Linked DNA regions of Arabidopsis thaliana. The protein of the gene in region 2 interacts with the protein of the main gene of each other region in a pairwise test. Each region holds a gene or a part of one and is shown on either strand. Other genes may lie near its edges. The genes, in order: AT4G17430 and AT2G27940.

What was found.
Region 1: the proteins of AT2G27940 (region 2) and AT4G17430 interact in a protein complementation assay, tested with the Arabidopsis thaliana proteins (one large-scale study listed by BioGRID).

What each region holds. Positions count from the first base shown.
Region 1 is NC_003075.7:9,719,116-9,732,339, forward strand, and holds AT4G17430 (O-fucosyltransferase family protein), read right to left. Parts: upstream 7,720-13,224; 5' UTR 7,687-7,719; coding exon 7,220-7,686; intron 7,143-7,219; coding exon 6,086-7,142; 3' UTR 5,595-6,085; downstream 1-5,594. Other genes in the region: AT4G17410 (DWNN domain, a CCHC-type zinc finger), read left to right, coding at 110-151, 260-530, 630-752, 842-923, 1,967-2,527; AT4G17420 (Tryptophan RNA-binding attenuator protein-like protein), read right to left, coding at 3,429-3,543, 3,623-3,714, 3,813-3,940, 4,024-4,084, 4,230-4,325, 4,409-4,447, 4,572-4,750, 4,840-4,879 and 2 more; AT4G17440 (chromogranin (DUF1639)), read left to right, coding at 8,733-9,305, 9,413-9,544.
Region 2 is NC_003071.7:11,890,294-11,902,414, forward strand, and holds AT2G27940 (RING/U-box superfamily protein), read left to right. Parts: upstream 1-7,648; 5' UTR 7,649-7,669; coding exon 7,670-8,026; intron 8,027-8,092; coding exon 8,093-8,449; 3' UTR 8,450-8,574; downstream 8,575-12,121. Other genes in the region: AT2G27930 (PLATZ transcription factor family protein), read left to right, coding at 2,158-2,583, 3,043-3,195; AT2G27950 (Ring/U-Box superfamily protein), read right to left, coding at 9,129-9,246, 9,359-9,461, 9,585-9,750, 9,890-10,199, 10,286-11,164, 11,248-11,366, 12,054-12,121.

The DNA.
Region 1 (13,224 bases), on a different chromosome or scaffold from region 2:
ATGCATTTAAAGAAGAGAAAGCATCACCTTTTACACATTATATAATATACATTGATGTTTGGCGATTAGTATCATCAGTAAAGTAATAATGCATACTTTTGCTCTTCAGCAGGAAAAAGGAAGAAGAAGAAACCTCGGATGAGTGGAACCGGTAGGTTTTTCTTATTTTGATGTGGACTACCCATGCTCTTTCTTCCCAGACTATGTTAACTGTATAGAGAGGCTTAACAGATTGTTTGTCTTCCTTTTCCTTTGCCAGATCTAGCAGGCCCTGACTATATGATGCCCATGGGCCCAGGTCCCGGTAATCAGTACTTCAATGGTTTCCAACCCGGCTTCAACGGCGTTCAACATGGGTTCAATGGCGTTCAACCTGGGTTCAATGGCTTTCATCATGGTTTCAATGGGTTTCCAGGCCCTTTTCCTGGTGCGATGCCTCCTTTTGTTGGCTATGGATTTGGCGGTGTGATCCATCCAGATCCTTTCGCTGCACAGGGCTTTGGGTTCCCTAATATACCACCACCTTATAGGTACTGAGAAGCTGAGACTTGCTCTCTCAGTTCATAGATAGTTTGTGATTTTGTATCTTCATTATAGCTATTAGTAACCAGGACATGTGACTTGAGCAGGGACCTTGCGGAGATGGGGAATCGTATGAATCTCCAGCATCCTATAATGGGGAGAGAAGAATTTGAAGCTAAGAAAACTGAGATGAAAAGAAAGCGTGAAAACGAGATTCGACGATCGGAAGGGTAAAGCACTGTCTGTGCATTCACTAGTTTCAGGCTTATGTATGTATACTGCAGCATGTTGACTAGTTGTTTGTTTTTGTGTGGTACAGAGGGAATGTCGTCAGGGACAGTGAAAAGAGCAGAATAATGAACAACTCGGCAGTCACTTCCTCACCCGTGAAGCCAAAATCTGTATGTATCATTTTGTTGTCTCAGTTCTCTCTCGCTCTCTCTCTCTCTCTCTCGGCCAATTGGTTTGGTTTGCAAGAGATGACGTTTTCTCAGCACCCTCTTTCTCTCTTTTTATTTCTATATTTTTCGCTCTCTGCATATCCTTTTACGTTAAAAAGAAAGGGGTTGATTCCACAATTGCTAAATAGGCGTCTGCTTTATAGTTGATTTGGTTTAGGGGTAAAACTCAAAGGAGAGACATTTAAGATTAGAATGAGGTAGATGTAGAAATTGAATTGACACCATAAAATGTATTGACTTGCGATAGAATATATGCATAAATGAAATGAATTGAAAGTTATTTCCACATAGTCTTCTCGTTGGCAGTTTGGTCACAAGTAATGCTCGACTGATCCCATAATTTTTGGCCTCTTCAAGACAGAAAAATTTGTAGGGAACAAAAGACTAAAGTAGAAAGTCGTAGGAAATGTTTTTAATTTCAGGGTAGTATATCTTATCGTACGGGTTAATATGGCCCTATAGACTTACATGAAGCGTGGTCCCAAACAGACCAGTTGGCTTTATATTGCCGACCTTATAAAATATTATTTTTCTAACATTATATTTTACCTAAATAGTTTTTTTTTTTTTTTTTTTTTTGACGAAATTTTTTTTTACAATATTAAATTTTTGTTATCTATTAAAATGTAGATATTTGATCTACTTTATTTTTAAAGTAAACGTTAAATACTGATATCAAAATCATATTAAATCAGGACTATATTAAATACGTCTTTTTATATTTTGAAACCAAAACACGTTTGTAATCCACGTGTAAGGATAGTAGTGGTCACTCTTTATCCTGCAAAATTAAGATTTTACTGGGAAGCTATAAAGTATAAACCTTTGTTTGCTTTCTCTTTTCTTTGTTTCTTCGTTAAATAAGCTATTTAGAGTAAAGTAAAAGATAAATGGGTTGGGCCCAATATATCTCTTATTGGGCTCAAGATTTAAATTTCTTTTCTGTTATTTTACCAATAATGGCCTTGTTCTTGAATAAACAGAGACAAGGACCTCCGCCGCCGATTTCGTCTGATTACGACCGTCGCAGGCGATCGGATAGATCGTCACCGGAGCGTCAGTCATCTCGAAGGTTCACCTCTCCTCCTCGATCATCCAGCAGGAAATCTGAGCGTGATCGTCACCATGACCTCGATTCCGAACACGACCGCCGCCGTGACCGTCCCAGAGAGACAGATCGCAAGCACCGTAAGAGATCCGAAAAGTCATCATCGGATCCAACTGTAGAGATAGACGATAACAATAAGTCTAACGTGTTCACTCGGATAAGCTTTCCAGAGGAATCTTCTGGCAAACAACGAAAGACATCAAAGTCTTCTCCAGCGCCTCCAGAGAGCTCAGTCGCCCCAGTTTCATCGGGTCGTCGTCATCACAGTCGAAGAGAAAGAGAGATGGTGGAATACGATTCAAGTGATGATGAAGACAGACATTTCAAGAGGAAGCCATCAAGGTACAAGCGATCTCCTTCGGTTGCACCTTCTGACGCCGGTGATGAGCATTTCCGTCATTCTAAGCGATCTAAAGGAGAAAGAGCGCGAGCTTGATTCGAAGAATGAAGAAGATTCAAATGTGTGCGTAAATGACTAAAACGCCCTTCATTATCTTCACGGAGACGAACCCATGGCCTGGTACTATGACGAGAATGCCCTATGACTCAGAGATGGAAGATGACTAGATGTTTTGTTGCATGAGTTAAAGAAAAAAGTCATATGTAATCGAATATGTGTAATATTAATGGGTCTTTATTTCTCACTATCTTCGGTTTTTTATTTAGAAAGATTTGTATGACTTCTTATTTAATTAAATACCAGCCGGGTCATCTTTTTGAAATAATTTGTGATATTTGATTTTAAACTTATATGATGTTAGTATATGTTAAAATACTGGTTGAAATTGAGTACGAATTAGCCTAATATTGAGTAGCATACGTTTAAGCACTTCATTCTTACATCGTTTGAGATGCAATTTCAGATGTACACATTGGAACTCATTAATAGAGAGGTTTTGTCTTACAAGAATTTAACACTTGAGCATCCATTTTGGCACATTAGATTTAACAACAAAGTTTTAAAAATTAATTAGGTTGATACCAAATGTTAAATTAGGCATTTATTTGTTTTCGTGTAAGGGTTTTAATTGAAACATAAGACAAATTTGTCTTTTGATATTTCAAGAATTTTTTTTTACTCTGCTGAAGCTAAGGTTAAGATATTGTGCTCTAGCAAAGTTAATCATGTGGAAGATGATGAAAGTTTTAGGGATCTCAAAGGCTATTTCGACTATATGAATGATTTCAAGTATCTGTTCACAATAAACATCCCAGCCACTGCTGCCAACATGAATCTGAGAAAGGTTAATAGCAAAAGAGAATACAAAAGGTGATATGGGTGTAGTAAATCCCATATATAGCAAAAGAGGATACAAATGTGAGTGCACCTCTGTATTTCACATTTCAGTAAGGATTAAAGAGGACACAATTACAACGTATGCAAGAAATATGAATAACCCTATTTGAACTAATAATCTTGGATTTTCTCTCATATTTGGGGACGTCACCGACCTGCAAGCAAAAACCCTTGCTGAGTCTAGTACAAGAAACCATAGTTATTTATACCAAGAGGAGATTGTCGATTCTTAACCTTGCAATTCGCTGCGAGAGTCGATGAAACGGTAAACTTTGGATGAACACGATGCCTGGTCCCGTTAGAGTTGCTGTTACTACATTATCACCCTTTTTTTGACAAAATGTAGATGATTTGTAAGTTTGACACAAAAGGACCAACCTTAATACATATTGTTTGTAATGGATAAGGAAGAAACATAACATACCCCGAAAACTGCCCGTCTTACAGGAGCAGCATTGTATTTGATTTGGAAATTGATCGACGGAGTGAGAGCGGCAATGCAAGAAACGTCAATGGTGAGAACTTCTCCCACCTCCAGGTTTTTCTGTACAACTTTATGAAGCAAATGGAGTAGGATCAGTTTAAAAGGCCTAAACCTAAAGAGCAGTAAGTTGAGATAAACTTTAGTTGCATACCAGAGCCGCCAGCGATAATAAAAGCAAGACCCTGACCAGAAAGCCTTTGTCTCAGAACCCCCTACAACAACGACTCTCTGACTTCAAGCCAAACATATATAAAATTTTCACATAGTAGCATCTACAAGAAGTAACTAGGAAAGGTATAACTCTTAAGTTTTGAATGAACTGTGCCAAAAGCCAATGCAATGTATTGTTTTCCTTACCTCAGCCCCAGCTGCAGCAATGTTTCTTGCTCGATGTCTCTGATACACAGTGTTTACGACCTTCACATCATGGACAGAACAGAGAAATGCATCTGGCTACACAACAACAAGAAAAAGTCACATCATTGAATGAGGAGGAAAAAGCTGAGAGCCAAGCAGCTAAAGATTGACGGCTCTACCTGGCATAAGATGTCCCCACCAAACATTGCCAAATCAAGCTTCACGGAAAGAAACAAGCCAAAGGTCACCAAAACACATAAGAACGAGATAAGGAGATATACTTATATCAAGCAAGATACTAAATACTACGGAAGGAAATCATGGCAAGTAAGAACCACTAACTGGGAGAATCCTTGCCAAAGAAGGTGCAGCGATACCAACAAATCCATCGTTTTGCCCAGTGTTACGAAGAACTATACTACTAACACTCTTTCCTAAAATCCATTGTACAACTCCAACTTCTTGTTCAGGGGTATAAGTATTATCCATCTCAATGGACCCAGACATGTAGCACATTGAACCTAAAGAACCATATATAATCAGTTAACATATACAATCCAACCCAACAGATCTTACAAAACTTAATGAGGAATCATAATATGGAAATTACCAGGCTTAGCAATGACCTTCTCTTGTGGTTTTAACATTATCTGTCAAAAAAACAATCAAATGCTTGAGTATATATGTCAATCACATAAACACAAAATGCCCAGACTACAAAATAAAATGTCGACCTACCTGAACAACCTGTGCTTCACCACCCAAAATTTGGAAAGGTGTGATCGTATCTTCTTGACTCTGCATCATATAACCACTTGTGAGATTCATACTCCCACAGACACATTCAAGAGATCAATTTCTCACCCAGGAAATAGCTTATTAGCATTATCACTGAATTAGATGTAAGTACACATCACATTACTCAACACCTACATGAGAAAGGATCCTAAAATACTCGCGAAGAAGTATATTCGAACACTAGCCTTCTCGATAGTGACAGACAAGAATACGAATCTAAGAGGCGAGAAGAGAACGAAGATAGAAGACAAACCTGATAGACATAAGGCTGAAATGGAGTAGAGAAAAACGGAGCAGCCATGGCGGTGAAAACCGCAGAAAGATCTTCCAAACAAAAACCTCCGAATCCAAATTTCCACAGAACCAATTGGATTAGAAAACCTTTCACGTCGATGCGAGACGATCAGATCGCAGATCCAAATAACACACTCGAAACACTCTGAGCTCTCTCAAAACTCCGGTCGAAATGTTCGCGGTGGATGTCACCGACGGGAACCCAACAAAACGACAGATTAAATTCGCTTAAATCGGCCTGAAGCTGCACGTGGAATCTGTTTACGTGGAGAGATCTCATTGGTCACAAAATACACATCGACGTAAAATTTCATTTCCGGTTTAATATAATTACATTTCTTCTCAACCAACCCTCTTTCACTAGATTTATTTGGTACAAAATTTCTTATTCAATAGCCGGTTTAAAGACATTGGTACAACAATTACAAATCTTGTCGACCACTAGAGACATCTACAGAACTCACAAAACCTTTACTAAGCAACCATCCCACGCAACCTTTACTCTTCCATTGTTGTGTGTGAATAATCAGAAAGGAACCAAGTAGCTTCATCTATTAATAAGAAACTTAGATAGTTTCCCAAATAACTTAACAACACAAAACAATTTAAGAGCCTGTTTTCATCACCAATAACTTCAAGTGGAGACAGATGACAGATCTATCATCTATCTCTATCCATCTCTATACAAAGACCGGCAAAACTTAATAAAATCACTACACATTGGCTCATCCACCAGATGAATCCAATAGAAATGCAGTCTGAGTTCAACTACTACTACACGCATTGTATTTCCTCATCATCTCTACACTATCAGCTATTGTAGACCCTGGAGTACCAACAAAACCCAGTGAAGCACAGCTACAAACAGCTTCCTCTATGTAAAGCTGCACATTGGATCCTCCATGAGGGTAACAATGGGTCTGCATCTTTTTTATACTATCAAGACTCATCGGAATAGACCCAAATTTCTGGCCGTGACTCGCTGAATCAAGTTCATGCTCTGTTCGCGCTAAGAATTCATCTTGTTCCCCTATAAAGTGGAGCTTGAAATTTGTAGAGTTCTTAGACAAATCACCCAAGTAAGTTCCGGTCCAGTTAAATTCAGGAAGGTCTGTCATTACAAACACATTAATTAGACCAGGATTCTTAACGCTCAAAGCTTCCAACTTCTGATATAAACCCGTAAAAGTGCTCTCCCGATGATTCTTGAACTGGCCATCTAGTAATCTAAGTTGTGCACAAAGAAACGGCGCCTTTATGGTTTCTGAAGCAAATTTCTTTCCCGCGATCATTATCTCTCGAACAAAAGGAAGGAAATCGACCTTCTCAACCAAAGATTTTATCTTTGGAGATTTATGGATATCGATATACAGCTCTGAGCCTTTGTATGGAGCTGTGAAGAGGCTCCCAAATGCTAGAATAGCTGCAGACTCAGCTTCTGTACCATGTCCAAGAGTCTTATACACATCTCTTCGCCTTCTCACGTTGGACAATTTCTTTTTCTTCTTGAGCTTCTCATCAGGCTGGAACGAATCTAATCTCCCATCAGCTTCTCCATTTTTATAAGTCCAAACAGTGGTTCTACAATCTTCATCCACAGCATACAAACATTTATCTACATTACCACGAACTCCAGATAACAAATAGCCACACTGTTTCAGTGACTCATAAGCCTGAGACTGTTCAGCTAAATCATCAGTGCATAGAGTCTCCAAGTCAACACCACACTGTAGTGATGCAAAGTACCTAAAATCAATGACTCGAACAGCCGAAGAAGATACCAGCGACGAAATGTCTACAATATCAGCCATCGAAACGTACCTATAAACACCAACATTTGTCACCCACATTGATCAAATTACTAAAACTCATTACGAAAAAAAAAAGAGATTTTGTACCTGTCAGTCTTAAGAAGCTCAATTGAATGATTCCAAACTGAGATTCGTATCTCGCTGGGACTCAAAACCCTAAATTTAGGACAACTACCGAGAGCAACGGCGTGATGATCCAGAATCGGAGGAATAATTAGGGTCCGATTAAGAATTCCCGCCATAAGAAGCGCATTCTTAAATTCCGATAGCTGATTACTGAATCCACTGTGAGGAGCGTACCAGAGAAACTTCTGACCTAGAAGAGTTCGGGTTAGTATCTCGGATCTGCACTGAGGGAATTGAACGGATCCAGAAAATGCAGAGATTGAGAACAAGGACTTGGGCATCTCGGAGTAAGTGATGAAGAAGACGACGATGAAGAACACAACAAGTATAGAAACGGAGCAAAGAAATATCGCAGATTTGTCGGTTTGCTTCTTCCTGTTTGGCCATGGACGTGGGCTTGGTCTACTGGGATTGAAGAAGTTGTTCATGTTTTTTGCTCTGAGGTTTTAGTCGCCATCATTGCGTTGCGTCTAGTTTTGCTCATGTGTAGAAGATGCCAAAACGGTGAGTGTCACTGTTTTGGGCCTAACTAATATTCTCTGATGGGCCTTAACTAAAATAATACGAACTTAAACATAGTTAATTTTAGAAATCTTTTTGTAACATAATCTATACGAAGCTATTTGCGCGTCCACATAACATTTTAAACAAGCAATGGAGATTAGATATCTTGCTAATTAATATTTATGAACTTATTTTTATTTTTATTCTTTTTAAATTTTTGTAAAATAAAATAAAAAATATATGAAAATAAAAGAATATTTAAAAATATAAAAAATTTCTAAATATTTTGTCACCAAAATAATATTAAAAATATCAAAATGTAAATTTCTATTTTATTAAATTTATACACAAAAATAAATTTAGGTCTTTGGACCTAACTAATAATATTCTTTGATGGCCTAGAGAAATCGAATTCACTAGATGATCTAATATTTGTTGATTTTTAGTCCAAAATCGAATTCACTAGAGAAATTAACCTATTTAGCACTTACATGAATATATTGATCATCATTGATAGACTTAAGCAGTTGTAGTCTTTTAAGCTTTTTACGGGTTCTTTTTTTTCTCTTCTTTTCTTTAAGATCTCTTTATTTATATGTCTAAATCTAAACGTAATTTTCTGGATTTATTGTTAACATATATTAATCCCCATATCAGAAGGATGATAATTGATGTTGATATATCAGGATATAAAATAATTAACTAATGATTTATTTTAGCCAACAAAATATAACATACTTTTAACAAATCGTGATCGAATAACAATAAATTCTAAATAACACTTTAAAACACTAAAAGTCTTTTGAAATCATAAACCAATAACACCCCATGAATAAAAACATAATTAGAAACTTACGCATGCATCAGCTTCCGTAAATCTCCTACATCTCTCTCTCTCCTCTCTGCTTTTTACCTTCTAGGGTTTTTGATCATCTCTCAGGTGAATACGTTTTGGTATAATCTCATACCAATGTCTGCGAATTCCAAGTCGGAGAGGTCTGCTTCTCAATCGGCGGAGACGGTGGCTGTTTCTAACCGTGTCGTGGCGTCACGGTCAAGTCGTCAGCCGCGTCTCTCTTTCTCCTCCTTTGCTCCCTCATCAGAGCACGATAACCTGAAGAAGCTGAAATCCGATGAGATTTCTCCCGCGAGAGAGGAAGTGCCGGTGTCGGTGAAGGAGAGAGAAGAAACGGAGGAGGAGGAAGCGAAGAGGACGTGGAATCTTCGTCCGAGGAAGGCTTATGGTGGTTCGAAGAAAGGAAACGGCGTGTTCACGGCGGAGGTTTGCGGTGGCGGCGGAGGAGGAGGTTCGGAGGTGAAGAATCAGAAATCAGGCGCAGGAATTGAGCCGAAATCGAACAGGCAGAGAGGAATCCCGGCGGAATCACCCGGATTAGGCGGTGGTGAGGTTGCAAACGAGAATCATAGGCTTTGGGTTGCTCTAGCTCGAGACGAGATCGAAGAAGATTTGTTCAGCATGAGTGGGAACAGGTCATCTCGCCGGCCAAGGAAGAGGGCAAAAGCTATGCAGAAACATCTCGATGTAAGTCACCAGGTGTTCGACGAATTGCCTCACAGAGAATTCAAAACAATGACTACGTTTTTTTAGTGTCTCCATTTTCTTAGGCAATTCAATGTCTGCCATTGTAGGTCATTTTCCCTGGATTGGGTCTCGTTGGGATGAATGCTGATTGCTTCAGAGTAGCCACTTCTCCGGCTAAGGTTAGCTTTGATCAGTCCACTTACTTGCTCGATGAAAGCTTGGATCAACCTGCCCTTTAGCTACATTGATCTGTAGATAGTATGAAATGGATGAAAGTCTAGACCTTTAGGTGCTATTACAGATTTTATGAAGTTTCATTCTATGTTAGCTTTACGTAACCTAATGGTACTGCTGCTTTAATGATACAAAACCCGTAACAGCGATTGTATTCCATTTGCAGTGATGATCGATGCAAAGGAGTCTTTTGGTGAAGGAAAAAGGTGAAGTCATCTCCCTAATTGAAACTTATCATTTTCATGGATATATGGTAACGTTGTTATGATATTACATTGCTTGATCTTGTTGAGGTTTGTGCTTAAGTAGTTGGATTTTGTTTCTGCTTTGTTGCAGGGTAGATAGGTATGCTGGTGATCGAGAATCCAGATACATCACAGTAGAAGCTAGGAAGAAGATATCTCAAGAGACATGTTCTTGTCTCATATCAAACTTAGTAGTAACTAAACTATAAGTAAATATCGGTAAGGTCATATAATTATAGATATATATAAAGAGAGAGAGCGAGAGGGGTTTGTTTTTGAGTTAGTAATTAAGATGCGTCTAAGTTTAATGGCAGAGGAAAACAACATAATCTATGTTTAAAAAGGGTTTTTTGAAACCATTTATAACTCTTATTAGCACAGACAATGATTTATTAAACCATATATAACTCTTATTAACACACATAGTTAGAAAGTGTATTAAGATCCATATAAGTTTTTTTAAGTACAATAAGGTTTCTAAGAGAATAAAAGCAAATTAAAAACCTGCAGATAACTTTGAGAAGACGGCTAAAAATAGTTACAGTTCTGCATTAATGTTTCTAATTATTCCAAAAATGTGAAACTAAGAGTGTAGTTTTTGCTTTTACGCTGGTTTATTAATCACACAGTTGTTTCCTCTGTATGACTGTATTTTTTAAAAAATCTGCATACCCACTTAACAACAACCTGCATAAAGAAAATGGCTCACAGTTCATATTCATGTGATTGCATCTTAAGGCTTGAAGTCCTAATGTGAGAATGGAGTACCTAAACCACAATAAGCTAAATGGGCTAATATTCATGATTTCAAATCCAAAAGGCCCTAGAATACCACCAGTTACGACTTCTCTTTCTTTTTTAGGAAAATGTGATTTCTTGTAAATTTTAGTATTTAATTTGCAAGAGCATGCTTACTTTGAAGAAGGTTTGTTCCATTAATTATGAACTCTTCTCATTATTACTATAATGGGAATGATTATATAGGGGTTAGAGCATATAATTGGTTATCTTAGGCCTTTTGTGTTTCATTTTCATCACATGATGATTCTAGTCCACAATCATTTGACTCTCGCCATTTATGCTCTTCTACAGCGAAGCCAAATGGTCAGTTTGTCGGTTTTAATTGTTTCTTTTTAAGAAAATTAAAAAATTAGTTCCGACTCAAAAACTTAATCATTATTACATGTAGTTCTTTGCCGAATAATCAATGAAGAGTATCATTCTCAGTGGGCTCCTCTTGTTTCCAAAAAGCCAATTCATTCGAGAACAACTTTCACCGATTACATCACACACAGCCACAAAAGTATCATATACAGTTTCAATCTTTTAATTTAAAAGAGAAAAAGTGATATCAAATTTTAAACGTAATTGAATCCAAACCAAGAACAAAACCGAAGATGATCGCATGTCCATTTATTTTTTTATCATATTATGTAGCTTGTCTTTTACTTAGAGATTAATTGTTGTGATAGAAGTTAATGATTATGTGGAGTAAATTAAGTACTTTTCTAAACATAACATTAGGAATGTAAGATAATGCAATGACGATGATGATGATACTAATAAATTAAATGATGTGATTGGTAATATATCATGTGCCATTAATTGCTTTATCGACGTCATACACAGTCCTCGTTGTACTTGAGATATGTATTCTTTCAACGACCAACCACACACAATGGCACAAAAAAACGATTCCTTACTCTGTCACGCAGTGGAAAATTAGGGGCTAAACCTAAATTCCATGAGTGCCCTCCATTTCTACTAAAATATCCAAATTATTTTCGACCAATCAAACCATAATATAATTTCACGTCTACCAGAACTAGGACCTGATAGAGAATTGTGTAATCGACGATGGTTTTTTTAATCATCAGTTAACTAGAGGAAGAACATATATATTAACAACACATAAATAGTGACAATCTACAAAAGTCAATAATAATTACAAAAATGTAGAATTTTTTTGTTACTACTAATTAGAACCATAAATTCATGGGTTTAGTTCTATTTTATTTTACTTTTAGGATGGTTCATTTTAATTTGGTGGCCATTTTAAAATCATGTATATAATTTCTCCATAAAATGGTACATCAGAATCCATAAGATAAACTATTAGAGTTCATTTTTACCTCATTTTTACCCAGTAATTATTTTAAAGCAATCGTTAGATGGGAGTATTATTTAAAGGTAGTTTTTTTTATTTATTTATTTAAAGGTAGTTAAATGAGTCCGTATGTATATATTAGTGCACGTGTCATTACAACCGAAAAATATCCCAAACGATTTTTGGTTAACCGATGAATCCACATGACCACCACAGCTCACCGCCATTAGAAGAATTAAAATATGTAACTAGGAAACCATATGTTTTCGGAGAACATGTTTCAAAACTATTCCACTTTTATGATCAAGCCAATTTTCAAATCTTATAGATCCAAAACGAACGAAATTGAGGGAAATATTAGTTGGTTTCATTATTCAAGATTTCTGAATGGACATATTAGTAATATTAGTGGCTTATCAACCTGTCCAAGGGGCTGAACCTGAAGCCAATTAGTAAAAAGAACTAAATTATAGCATCTGAAACTGATAAGCCATCTTTGAAAATCCCAAAGAGAGGAAGCCACATTCTTCTAATGAGAGAGTTGGCTACTTCTTCCTATTTTACTCAACCAAATAAAATTATAGAAGTTTGACCATTGACTGAGGACAACCAAGAGAACATAGGAATATTTTGACCAAGAATGCACGTGTGGGTGGACAAGAGCACACGTGTGCTTCGCTGTCATGGGTGGTGTGGTTCTCTTAGGAATGTGTGCGCCACGTCGGTTCCACATGGGAGGATATATCGCACGAGCCAACTTGGTCCTTTCTTCTTCTTTTTTTTTTTTTTAATTACAAGCATTCCTTGAAGCTTCATTTTGTACACCAACTATTTCTTTATTTAAAAACATAGATTCCCAAAACCATTTCTGAATAATCATGATGCTAGAATCTCAATAATTATGCATATGCATGTAGCAGTAATATTCATACCATTTGATGCGTTAAAATCATGTTTAATAATCAAGAATCAAACATTTTAACTATACTATATGAAACGTCAAATTCAAATTACATATCATTCGTTTTATTGCTAGGCCTCTTTCTTATTCATTATGTCGATGTCAATGAGTATTTTCTTTGAAGTGTTTAAACATTCGCATTATTACATGTACTAGAGAATATATAATATTCGACTATAATGGGGAAGTTAGGTCCAAACATATAAAGTTCCCCAATGATGACATTAACCTACAGCCAATTTCTGTAGAGAATAATTAAGCTACGCATCAAATATGATTATGTAAATTGATAATTATTAGTCCTACTATAAAAGCAAACCATATATATACGCCTCAAATGATTACAACATTAGAAAATACGATTTGTATTAT
Region 2 (12,121 bases):
AGGCTAACTATAACCATATTTGTTTTATAAAAACAAATTAAAAAAAAAATTAAGTTAGCATACGAAAAAGGTGACAGGCCAAAACACATTCAAACCCATCTGAATTCACATTTTCTATATTTTTTATAACAAATAATTTTCTTGCATGTTTTATACACAAAGAAATTGACATCTTATGTTTCTTTTTGTATAAAATAGCATGTCAATTTCTACAAGGTAAAGGATTTTTCCAAGTAATTATCCATGGATTGAACCCTAGATTCGTATTTTCTAATTGTTATTCTTTATTTCGAGCACAAGACATCGCATAATTTTTTTTGTCAGTTAATTTTTTTTCGCATATATAGAACCAATCAATCTATACTCTATATGTGAATACCCGAACGCCTAACCTAATAAAAGCATACTAAACTGAAGGCAAAAAAGGTTCAAAACCAGGTCCATTAGAATGCCCAATAGAAAAAGTCACTTAGGGAAATATCAACTAACTCAAAAGGAATAAGAAGAAATGGGCTCCAAACTCAATCACTGACACACTGGTCCTGATCGGATGCTCTCCATCTCAAAACGGCACGCCCAACCACGTAGGCTAGCACCCTCCCTAAAGAGTAATTAGCGGGCATTTTCCCCCATCATATTTGAGGTCCACCGATTAGTGTGAACTTTAGTTTACGTGTTTGTAATATTTTTTTTTGTCTGTAATATTTTAATTTATTTTTATTTTGTTCCAAATGATCGATCTTCTCAACTAACAAATCATTCATGCAGTTTTACTTGATGAGGGATTTCATATACAATTTTACAATTGACACTACAAAGAGTCAAAGATTTACATTAGAAGGTTCTCTCTACACCATGCTAATGATAGACAAATTTACCCTTTGACAGACCAGACCACTCATCAGACGTGGCCGTCATCAGCCGAGTTAACTCCTTGTAATCTTTCTCAAAAGCAGTATCGGTTAAAGATAGTGAAATGAGGAATGTCATCACCTAGAAAAGAGATTCAAATTTTGCATGAGGGGATAAACAGTGTTTGAAACTCTTTAAACTAAGTTGAATAATGTGGTTGTTCGAGCCAACATTCCATCTAATGTAGTTTAATGTTGGCTCGAACAAAAAGATCAACCTTACAAACCAAAAGATTAATACCAAGTGGAAAATATTGATAATTTATGTATGTTTCTTTTGGACGTACACGTTTCAATAGTTTGAAGAATTTCTTAGGTAAACCATAAATTATATATGTATATATATATATATATATATATATATATTCTTCTTCATTTATTGATATAGATATGTCAAAATTAGAGTATTACCATTATAATTTTTTGGTTATAATTAAATTCCAAGTTGGAACAAATTTTGATCTCTTTAATTTGACATATGTTGATAATGTGTGTTTCTTTTGGATGTACACGTTTCAATAGTTCGAGAAATCTATTATTCAAATCATAAATGTTAATTAAATATATTTTAGAAACATTTTTTGAATTTAATTATTTTCATATATATATATATTAAATTTAAAGTATTATCATTTAATATTTTGGTTATTTTTGTAGTCAAAGTTGGAACAAATTTTGATCTATATACACATTTAATTAGCTTGTAATTTTGTCATCAAACTCATTTACTCAATGGCCTCATCCAACGGTTAGGAATCAACCTTAACCAAACATCATATCTAATTATATATCCTTTCCCTTTCCTCCCCCAATAAACTATTAACAATAAATATTTAATAATTAAGAGAAGAATTGAAAAGATATCTACCAATCCTAAATAAGAAGAAAAAAACATAAAATCTTCATTTATCAACAATAAAATAAAATTTATATCTTCCTTTCTCTCTTACCCTTAAAATCTGATTTTTCCTCCTCTTGTCTCAAAAATCAATCATCTAATACCCTTTCTCTCTCCCTCTACTGATCATCTTCATAAAGGTAATGCAAATGGCAAGAGCATGTTCTTCGTAATTTATTACATTGTTCATAAGGTTTTGTCTCGCTCTTCCCTTTTTGTATATATTGTAATTATTGTCTAAGAAAAACAAAACAGGAGAGAGATTAATGGAGGAGCCGAAATGGCTCGAAGGTCTCTTAAGAACAAACTTCTTCAGCATTTGCCCTCGACATCGCGAGACACCGCGAAATGAGTGCAACATGTTCTGTCTCTCCTGTCAAAACGCTGCGTTTTGCTTCTACTGCCGCTCCTCCTTTCACATTGATCATCCCGTCCTTCAGGTCCTTCATTTTCTCAACACACAATGCATACACATATATATATATATCACTTTTGACTCAATCCAATTCTTTATCATTAACATTGAGACAGATAAGAAGATCGTCGTATCATGATGTGGTGAGAGTATCGGAGATAGAGAATGCATTGGACATAAGAGGAGTGCAAACTTATGTCATCAATAGCGCGAGGGTTCTCTTCTTAAACGAGAGACCTCAGCCTAAGAACTCCTCCCATGGTGCCGCCTCCTCCACTCCGAAAACCATGTCCTACTTCTGTGAGACATGTTGCAGAACCCTTCTTGATCCCTTTCGCTTCTGTTCCTTGGGTTGCAAGGTTCGTTTTCCTACACCTTTTCTCAATGCAAAATTCCTTTTTGTAGCTGGATGGATAAATCATGAGCAAAAACCTGTAAACTTCATATCATAGAAAAACGAATGCATAGTTATAAGTCAATCTATCTAACGAGCACTTTACAACTGGACCAACAAAATTGGTTTATCATATTTTCATCATTATTACTAATATCTTCGCATTTATTTGTCCGATATAAAATGAGGAATCGGTTTAAGGATACACCGTATAATGTTTAGTTACTTGTATGGTAAATTCATTGAATCAACTATATTCAAACTCGCTTAATACATGTTGTTTGCCTCATATAATGTATCTTAAGAAAATATATACGAGGTTAGATGTTTGTATATATGTATATGGTACATTTTGCTCAAAAAAAAAGTATATGGTACATTTGCATAACGGAAATGTATGATGTGATCATAATAAAAATGTCAGGTTGAAGGAATGAGGAAGAATAAGGAAGAGGAAGAAGAAAGATTGCGTAAAGAAAGACAACAAGAAACGCACAAAGGCACGCATCCTCCAACTCATACCTCTAATTCTAGGCGACGAAAAGGCATTCCTCATAGAGCTCCTTTTGCCTCCTAATTTAATCAATCTTTTTCAAGAAATAAAATAAAACTTTTCTTTAACTTATTTTTATCTTTTTAAAATCATCAGTTAATGGTCCACCCAAACATAGCATAGTATATGCGTATTGGGTGGGTGTATTTATATATTCCCAATTTGTACAATGTCCAGCTCACTTCTCACAATCCTCTCACATGGAAAACCAACAATTTGTATAGAAGAAAATCCTAATTTCCCTATATTTTTTTTTTGTAAAACATTAAATACATTTCTAGCTAATTGTATAACATATATCTATACTGTAGGATTGTAGGATGGACTCTATTTGATATACTAATTAATTTTTGTGAAATATAAGTCTTACCTTTAAAACACATTATACAAAAATTAAGAGTTCAAAAAGACTCTTTGTGGAAGGAAGGAATAACATGAAAATTTAGGCATTAGTTAGACTATGAGAATGTCGGTGGAGATATACTGTATACTTTATTTCCGAGTAGATAATCTAATAACTAATCGATGTGGTGGTTTGAAGTTACCTGTCTCTATATCCATCTAGCTACTAAATATTTTAGTTTAGACTGAAATTGTGTGGGGTTTAGGGATCAATAATTGTGTATCTAAATGGTTTTTTTTTTCTTTTCTTTTTTTTTGGGAAAATATCTAAATGGTTAAGGGACATGAATGTGTATATGTTTTGTATAGACACATGAAATGTTCTTCGACATTAATTCTAAGCTGTTATATAATTAAAATAGTTTGTCGTAGGCGTTAGGTATTCGAAAGGTACAGTTACTTAAAAAAGAAAATGAAACTTTCACTTATTTACATAAATAATTTAAGTGGTAAAATTTTACGTAAAGGATGGTCTTATTTTAGTACGCATCGACCTTAATTTCCTTCACGTTCTACATAATATATTATGGCACTTTAAGAAAAAACTAGGTTATAACATTAATTATGAATTACGTGTTGTCGTTTCTCGAGAATAATTAGAGAATTGTGGAATTGTACAAAAGTAATAATTGATGCATAATGCATTGGTAGTATAATTCTCCAAGAGGAAGTCAAGCTCATGTTGCGGTTGTTGATCGCACTGCGAGAAGCATCGATCTCTTCAGCTTATAGTCAGATCGATTCTTGGATTCTTGATTCAGGAGCCTCTTTCCACACTAATGCTCCCTAGGACATAATGGAGAACTATGTTGCCCAAAATTATGAGAAGATATCTCTAGTAGATGGATTATCTTTGGACATTGTTGGTGTTGAAGACATTAACCTGAAGATGTCAGATGAGCTTGTATGGAAAATCACAAAGGTTAGACATGTCCGAAAGTGATGTGAAATCTATTTTTTGTTGGACAATTTGATGATACATGACACGATATCAATGTTGGTTGTGGAGCTTGAATAGTGACAAAGGGTTCCATGACAGGTACAAAAAGCTATAAAAGAGACACTATTTATATGACCACTAACTATGAAGATATATATAGTTGATGTTGCCGAAAATGCCTAAAACAAAACTGAGTTGTGGCATTATAGATTGAGGCATATGAGCGAGAAATGTATGAATTTCATGGTAACAAATGGTGAATCTCCAAATTTAAAGATATTAAATCACTACATGTATGAAAGTTGCATCCTTGGAAAGCGGAAACGGGTTAGGTTTTGAGTGATGGTAGGAAGTTGAAATCTAAGAAGTTGGAGCTAGTACAAAATAACTTGTTCGAACCTGCTTATGTTGCATCGCTAGGAGTATCACACTATTATGTGACTTTCATTGATGACTCCAGTATGAAGTTTACTTTATGAAGAACAAGTATGGTTGAGATAAATCTCAAATTGAGTGTCTAATATCTGATAATGGTAAAGAGTACATTTGCGGTGAGTTTATAAAATACTGCGCTGATAATAGGATTACAATGGAGAAAACTATTCCTGAAATGCATCATCAAAATGAAAAAGTGGAGATTGTGACTAGAATTTTGAACGAGCGTGCAAAAAACTTGTGACTCCAGTGTAGATTGCCTTTAGATATTTTGGACAAATGAAATCAATACCGCAACCTTCTTGAGGACCGTCTGTTATATTCCAATGGGATTCAAGATCCTTGAAGAAACTTGGATCCATTGAAATAGCCTTGTTTTTGTGGACTAAGATGAGAGAAAAATTGTCTTCTCTTAGCGTGTTATTCATGGTCATTAATTAATTTGTGAATTGAACTTAACTATTTGAATTTTTTATATTGATCTTGACCTTTGACTATTAATTTGATCCATTCATGAGCCAAACATATGTATTTTATGGGTCTCCGTGACATGGTGAGCTTCCAAAGAAATAAATTGGATTCATTGTGGATGGTACACTAACACTTGAGATTAATGAGAGAAATTTTTTTCAATAAAATTAAATATCTTAACAAATATGAGAGAAGAATATATATAATGAAATTAAATATATTAACAAATATGAGGAAAAATATATAATGAATTAAATATATTAACAAATATATTAAATATGTGTGTGTGTGTGAATAGTATAAATATTATTATGTAATGAGGAAAAATAAAATAACCAAGATGGGAAAATTTTTAATATGTTTCTTCTTCTTGTTTTTCATCTCCATCCAAAACATAGAATCCATTATAATACTTAGGACTTATTACATTGATATTTCGAATCATCTTGCAGGTAACAAAAAACTCATGATCATTTGTAGATCTGGAGATCAAGCGAGCCCACTTAAATTTCTTCCCTTCAATGTCATTTGGAGAATAAAATTTACAATTTACCCAAAAACTTTGATATGGTGCCACGTATGGAAGGTAGTTCAATTTCCACTGTTATCTCTTTCACATTGTTACACCTATAATTTTTTAACGATATATTCTTGTTTATATTTATGTTATTCATGTAAATTTTTTTATTACGATATCTTTCCAGGGACCTAATTATGTTCATCATGTAAAGTTTAACGCGTTTATTGCGAAGGAGAGTTTTATACATGATGTATGTGGAGGTCGGAAACCTAACGCATGTTTTTGGCAACCGAGAGAAAGCGGAATATGGGCACGAAATAATAGTGCTGGAACCCTTAAGTTCACGTATAAATGGGATATAAATACCAATATATCACCTTCTTATTAATTTTATATTTACTTAAAATATATAATTATTATTATACCAATATCTCATGTTACATTAAGAAATTAAACAATAAGAGTGAGTCACCAAAAGTTGGGTATTTTGTTTAATTCTGACGTTTTTCCTTACAACTTGTTTAAGTTGGGGACTAAATCCAATGTAAGCAATTAATGTGGAACAAAACTAAAACATTACAGTATTTTGCTTTCAAGTAACGTGCAACAAAACAAGGGCATCGAGAATTGGGGAAAAAAAATTGAAACCTGTAAATGAAAAGGTCCACTTAGAGGCAAACTAGCTAGATTCTGTTATAAACTTGAAATTCTCAGCATAGACTACAAAGGTGTAAACTCTAGTAGGTTTTTCAAACGCTTCAAAACCTTGGACTCTTAACTCTTTCAAGAGTCTTCCTTTCAGGATTGAAATAGAAAACAAAGAAAGGTTTAGATATATAGTCCATGGACAAAATAATTTCATGAGTAGCAGTCACTCCAACGCCGGAAGCATCTCCCTTAACGACTATATTCACCGGAAAAGTGTATACACATTCCAACCATTCTTGTTTCTTGGCATCCTCTTGTATCCACAAATACAAATAAAGCTTAGACCTAAGCCTTCTGGGATAAAAGTCAGTATACCAGTGCCAACTAATCACGCCTAATTAATTTACCCTTGTAATTTATCAGTTTAGTAGGCGACGATGGAACCAATAACTTCATAATACTAGAATCTGTCTTAAAAAAACTAAAATTTTCATTTCTAACATCAAAGCAAGCTATCTTCACAGTCTTTGCTTGTCCAGCAATGTAATACAAAACCTCATCGATGCATACCCCTTCACCTATAGGATAATGGTTTTCCGGACAATTCAGTTTTCTCCATGACATCTTCCGAGTTCCTAATGTCATAATATGTTCCTCTTCATTAGATACTCCATAAAGTGAATTTCTTATGTTTGATACTTTATATCGTTTGCCAATAGGATCATACCATAATAAGCTTCTTGATTAGCTATATTTAAATGTAATTTTTTTTTACTCTCTCTCAATTGGTCAAATTTAGAGGAGATAAAAAAAATTTACCACCCAATAATTGTTTCATTATTATTGGCTAAACTTAGGTGAGGTGAATAAAAAAAATGAACCCAATTTTCGTTCCATTAACATTCATTTACGTCGTTTTCTTAAATATGAGTACACATATATCAGTTTATTCATATAGTTAAACTAATATTTAAATACTAACATGTGCATACGTGTACGTTAATGTTATGAGTCATTTTACATTGTCAAGTAATAAAAATTGAAAATGAGAATTTCATTTTGTTTCTTAATAGACTTCAGTGATGGAGACCAAGCACCTACGCAAGCTTCTCCAGCTCTACCAAGCTTGTGGTGGCGAACAAGAGCTCACAAAAACCGTCCAAAACGTCACATCATCACCATTGACTCCAACGCCACCACCACAGCCACCTTCGGCATTAGACTCCACTATGGCTCTCACCATCTTTATCCTCTTGGTTGCTCTCTTCTTCATGGGTTTCTTTTCAGTTTACTTCCGCCACTTCGCAGACAGTTCAAGTTCAACGGTTGATATTTCTTCCATGCCAAGAACAAGATCCTCTAGGATGTCTCCACGTCGCCTTTCCACATCCGTCGTCGTATCACGGCCGTATAGTTTCCGGAGGGGTCTTGATTCTCAGGTAAATCCATTTCTCTAATTATCTTTCTCGGTTCTTATGTTAACCGGCAAGATTGGGACATTTCAGGCCGTTCGATCTCTGCCAGTGTACCGTTACACGAAAGCAGCGAAGCAGCGGAACGAAGATTGCGTTATCTGCTTGAGCGATTTCGAAGAAGGTGAAACAGTTAAAGTGATACCACATTGTGGTCACGTGTTCCACGTAGATTGCGTTGACACGTGGCTGAGCTCATACGTAACATGTCCCTTGTGCCGGAGTAACCAGCTGTTCTCGGATAAGGACTTGGGCATGCAAGAACCGCCTGATCAGGACTCGGCAGAAGAACATGACACGTGTGATGGTGTGGACACTTGTGTAAGGAGGTGTAGTAGCTGTTCAAGTTTGGGGCAGAGGACTGGATTGGAACGATCGCTGAGCCTCTGACATGTTCTTTTTTTTTTGTGTTGTTCTTAATCTTGATTTTGTCTTTGTATTATTGTTGTAATAAGGGAAGGGTATGAAATAATGACTTTGTAAAATGAGATTGAGTAGTAAATTTTGTTAGTGTTGCCAAAATATTATTTTATTCATTCCATTTTGTTTTATGAGATGTTTAAGAATAAAACAAAATTATGAGTTTCTGATTTTGTATTACTATTTTCCGTGGAAGGAAACGGAAAAATTGAAGCGAAATGTGTGGAAACGAAATTTTTGTTAGCATCAAGTGAATCAACCAATTTATTTATCCCCAAAAAATCAACCATACGTACACAATTTCGTAGTGTTTTGTCAAACACGGCTTCAGAGGCTCATTTCTTTGTGTCATCTGAAGTGTTGCACTTTTTAGATGTCTCTTTTTTTTTTTTTTTTGGATATGCATAAAAGTACAGGTAGTCACAGATAGTTCACTGCCACCAATTTCTATTGAATCTTTTGATGTTTCATGTGTATAAAAATAGTTAAGAAGTGTGTGTTTGTCTTTCTTACACCACGGATAAAATTAAGAGCCGAGTGAATCAGAGTAAATATCTATGCTAAAAACATCACAATCAAAGACATTTGATATCTGTAAAACCCAGAATCAAATAAGCAGAGCTTGGAGCCGTAGGAGAGCACAAGAGTTTCAAAGAATAGAGTAAGCACGAACTACCTCAATCACAGGGGCTTGACACATGGGACATTTTCCTCCCGCTTCCACTAGCTTCTTTGCACACTTCTCGCAGGTGTTCATATGTCCACATCTGTTGTTTACGAACGAAACAAGAAAAAAAAAACAGAGGAGTTTAGATATCAATTTGGGAACATGTTTAAAACAAATGTTGGTGTTTTCATGGTTCATAGTTTCATACGTACCTATACAATAAAGAGTCAATATTGCTCTCGCAGCATACGCAGCAGATCCCTTTCCTTACATATTCCCATTTTGACTCGTAACTCGCAGTGTCCTTGGATGGACCTGTGAATCGATTAAGGTGAGTCCACAAGAAAAAAAAAATAGTTGCATTCTTTGTTGTATACTGTTGTGACTTGTGAATCATCATATGTAAGGTCATAATGTGACTTGAGACTAATAGAAAACCTGGTTGGTCAGTAGAGCGGTGCATCGCAGCAGAGACCTCTTGTCTTATGGACCGTTGTAACTCGAGTTGCATTTCCATGCAAGCCTCTAGCATCCTCTGCAGGTTATCCATCCTTTGCTGTATTCTACCCATGTCAACCCTCAAATCGTTGATCGAATCCCAATCCTGCAGAGATATTGTTGATCAAGTTAACAAATAAGCGCAACAGCATATAAAATATCAACCAATGAGTTCCTTCATCTTTAGAAAAGACAATTGCTTTGGCACCCTTCACCCTAGGGATTAAGTTTGGGACTAGTCTTACCATTCCAATGCCCTGATGCAAATCATGTGCCGGCCAGTTTGAATGGGATCGATCATGGTCCCACCGTGGCTGAATAGGGATGACTGGGGAGGGTAGAGTCAAAGGAGGAGATTCAACAGCATCAAGTTCTTGACCACCACTCTGAGCATCATCCTGCTGTTCGGTATCTTCACCTACTATTGTATGGTCAGAATAAGTCTCGGCTTCTTCCCAGTCGACAGGATTTTGGCTTCGTCTGTCCATGTAAGATTGTATCAACTGGCTAAGATTTTCCCTAAACCCGCTCTGCAGAAGATTTGAGACACGTCTCCTGTAGTGCCCATAGCAAGCCATCAGATACATAAAATGAGGTTGAAAAGCGTCGCCATTACGGCAAAAATTTACTAGATATCTTACCTGCTCGAGAGTTCTCTGAGTTCCATGTTGTTCTCATTACCATCATCCGGAGGAAAGAATGTGGTAGCCCTTCCCATTGAAACTGTGTCCTGATCAGAATGTTCCTCTGACCAGTCTTGTATTGTGCTTTGAAGAGATGCAGCATCATCATCAGGCTGCATCTCTGTGAGTTCCCCGAGTATGTTGGCTTCTCTGTCCTCGTCCACAGATGATAACTGGGATAACTGATTTGGAAAATTCTCAGGAACATCTGTATCTGCCTCCTCTTCAGCGTCATCTCTCCATGCACTGGTTGCACCATTGATAAGTTGCCAATCGGATTCTTCGTTTTCCATCTGCTCCACGGTTTGTTCCTCTAGAGTGACAGTTAGGTTAATGCTTTCGCCCAGATTCTCCTGGAAATTTGTTGTCCGGTTTATCGGTCCCATGGTGGCAATTTCTTCAGAAATTTGCAGAGACTGTTCATAGGGTATCTCGATAGTTTCTCGTAATTGACAACCGTATCTGATCTCATCTCCATGAATTGAAGAGGATGAACACCCAGTAGCATTCAGGTCCACTTCCGTATCATTTCTTCTTTGAGAAAAATCATCAATTTCTGACCGTTGCCAGCCTTCTACACGTGCAGTCCTTTCTTCCAAACTTGTGCTCCGGCTACAACACCGTCCAGAGTTAGTTATCTCATCCAGTGAACTTTGGTTGTCAGCCTCTCGGCCATTTTGATCTGAACCACCGTCTGCATCATTGATGCTATCTAGACAATTCAGGTCGTTTTGTTCACCTCTATTATGATCAGTTTCAGCATTTGATGAGGTCTCAGAGTGACTACTGCTCGCTTGACCAGAGGCAGACCGGTCCAGTCTGGATATAAATTCCTCCCTAGCATATGACAAACACACAGTAAGCAAGGACCTTTTTAACACCTCTAAAATAGAATTTATTATTACAGAAGAATTAACTACCTCAGCTCAGATACAGTGTGCCTCTCTCTTAGAAAGCCCAACTCAGTGGCTGCAGATGATGTTGGTTTCTCTTTATCATCGTTGTCACCATTTCGCAAGAATCTCCCCCTTAGCAATGCCTGCAAAAGTAATTCAAATCATGATTTAAAGCTATGCCAACCAAAACCCAAGAGATAGAGTTGAGACATAGATTTAGCTCTTAACGCCTTCAAACAACCAATGTGCCAGTTAAGCTGACTGGTAATGATAGACAAAAAGATATCATATAAAATATAAAGAGATGCTCAGCATATCTATCACTACAACTCCTATGACACAAACGTCAAGTTAGAATCCCCTTAAGAGGAAGTATAAAATGACCAAAACGGGAAAGGAAGGTATATAGCAGGAAATAGAAGCTATCATAAACTCCCTCAAGTATGTCTCCAACCCCCATTCGACTATGAATTTCGTTATTCATTTTAGAAAAAAAAGTGACTACTAGACTTTCAGTCATTGTTCCTCTGACACAAGATGCTTATAATTGTATAAAGAACTAATGCTAATTATTGTTCCTGTATTTATTCCACATACACAAATAGCACAACATAGAATTAGGAAGGTTGGGGCGTCTTCACAATCTTTACGAATGTATCGGTAATTGAGTAGCCTGTGAATGTATCTGACAGTGGTTTTGGACAATATAGCACAGATTGATTTTTTCTTATTTGGGAATAGTTACTTAAAGATAACAATATCACATATTCAATGTCACCGAGACAAGTAACTGAGAGGTAAGAAACAGTCACAAAGTCTAATGAGCAAACCTGAATGCGGTTGCGATGAGCGAAGTTTGATACTGCATGATGCTGCATCAATCCCTCCAGCTCTCTTT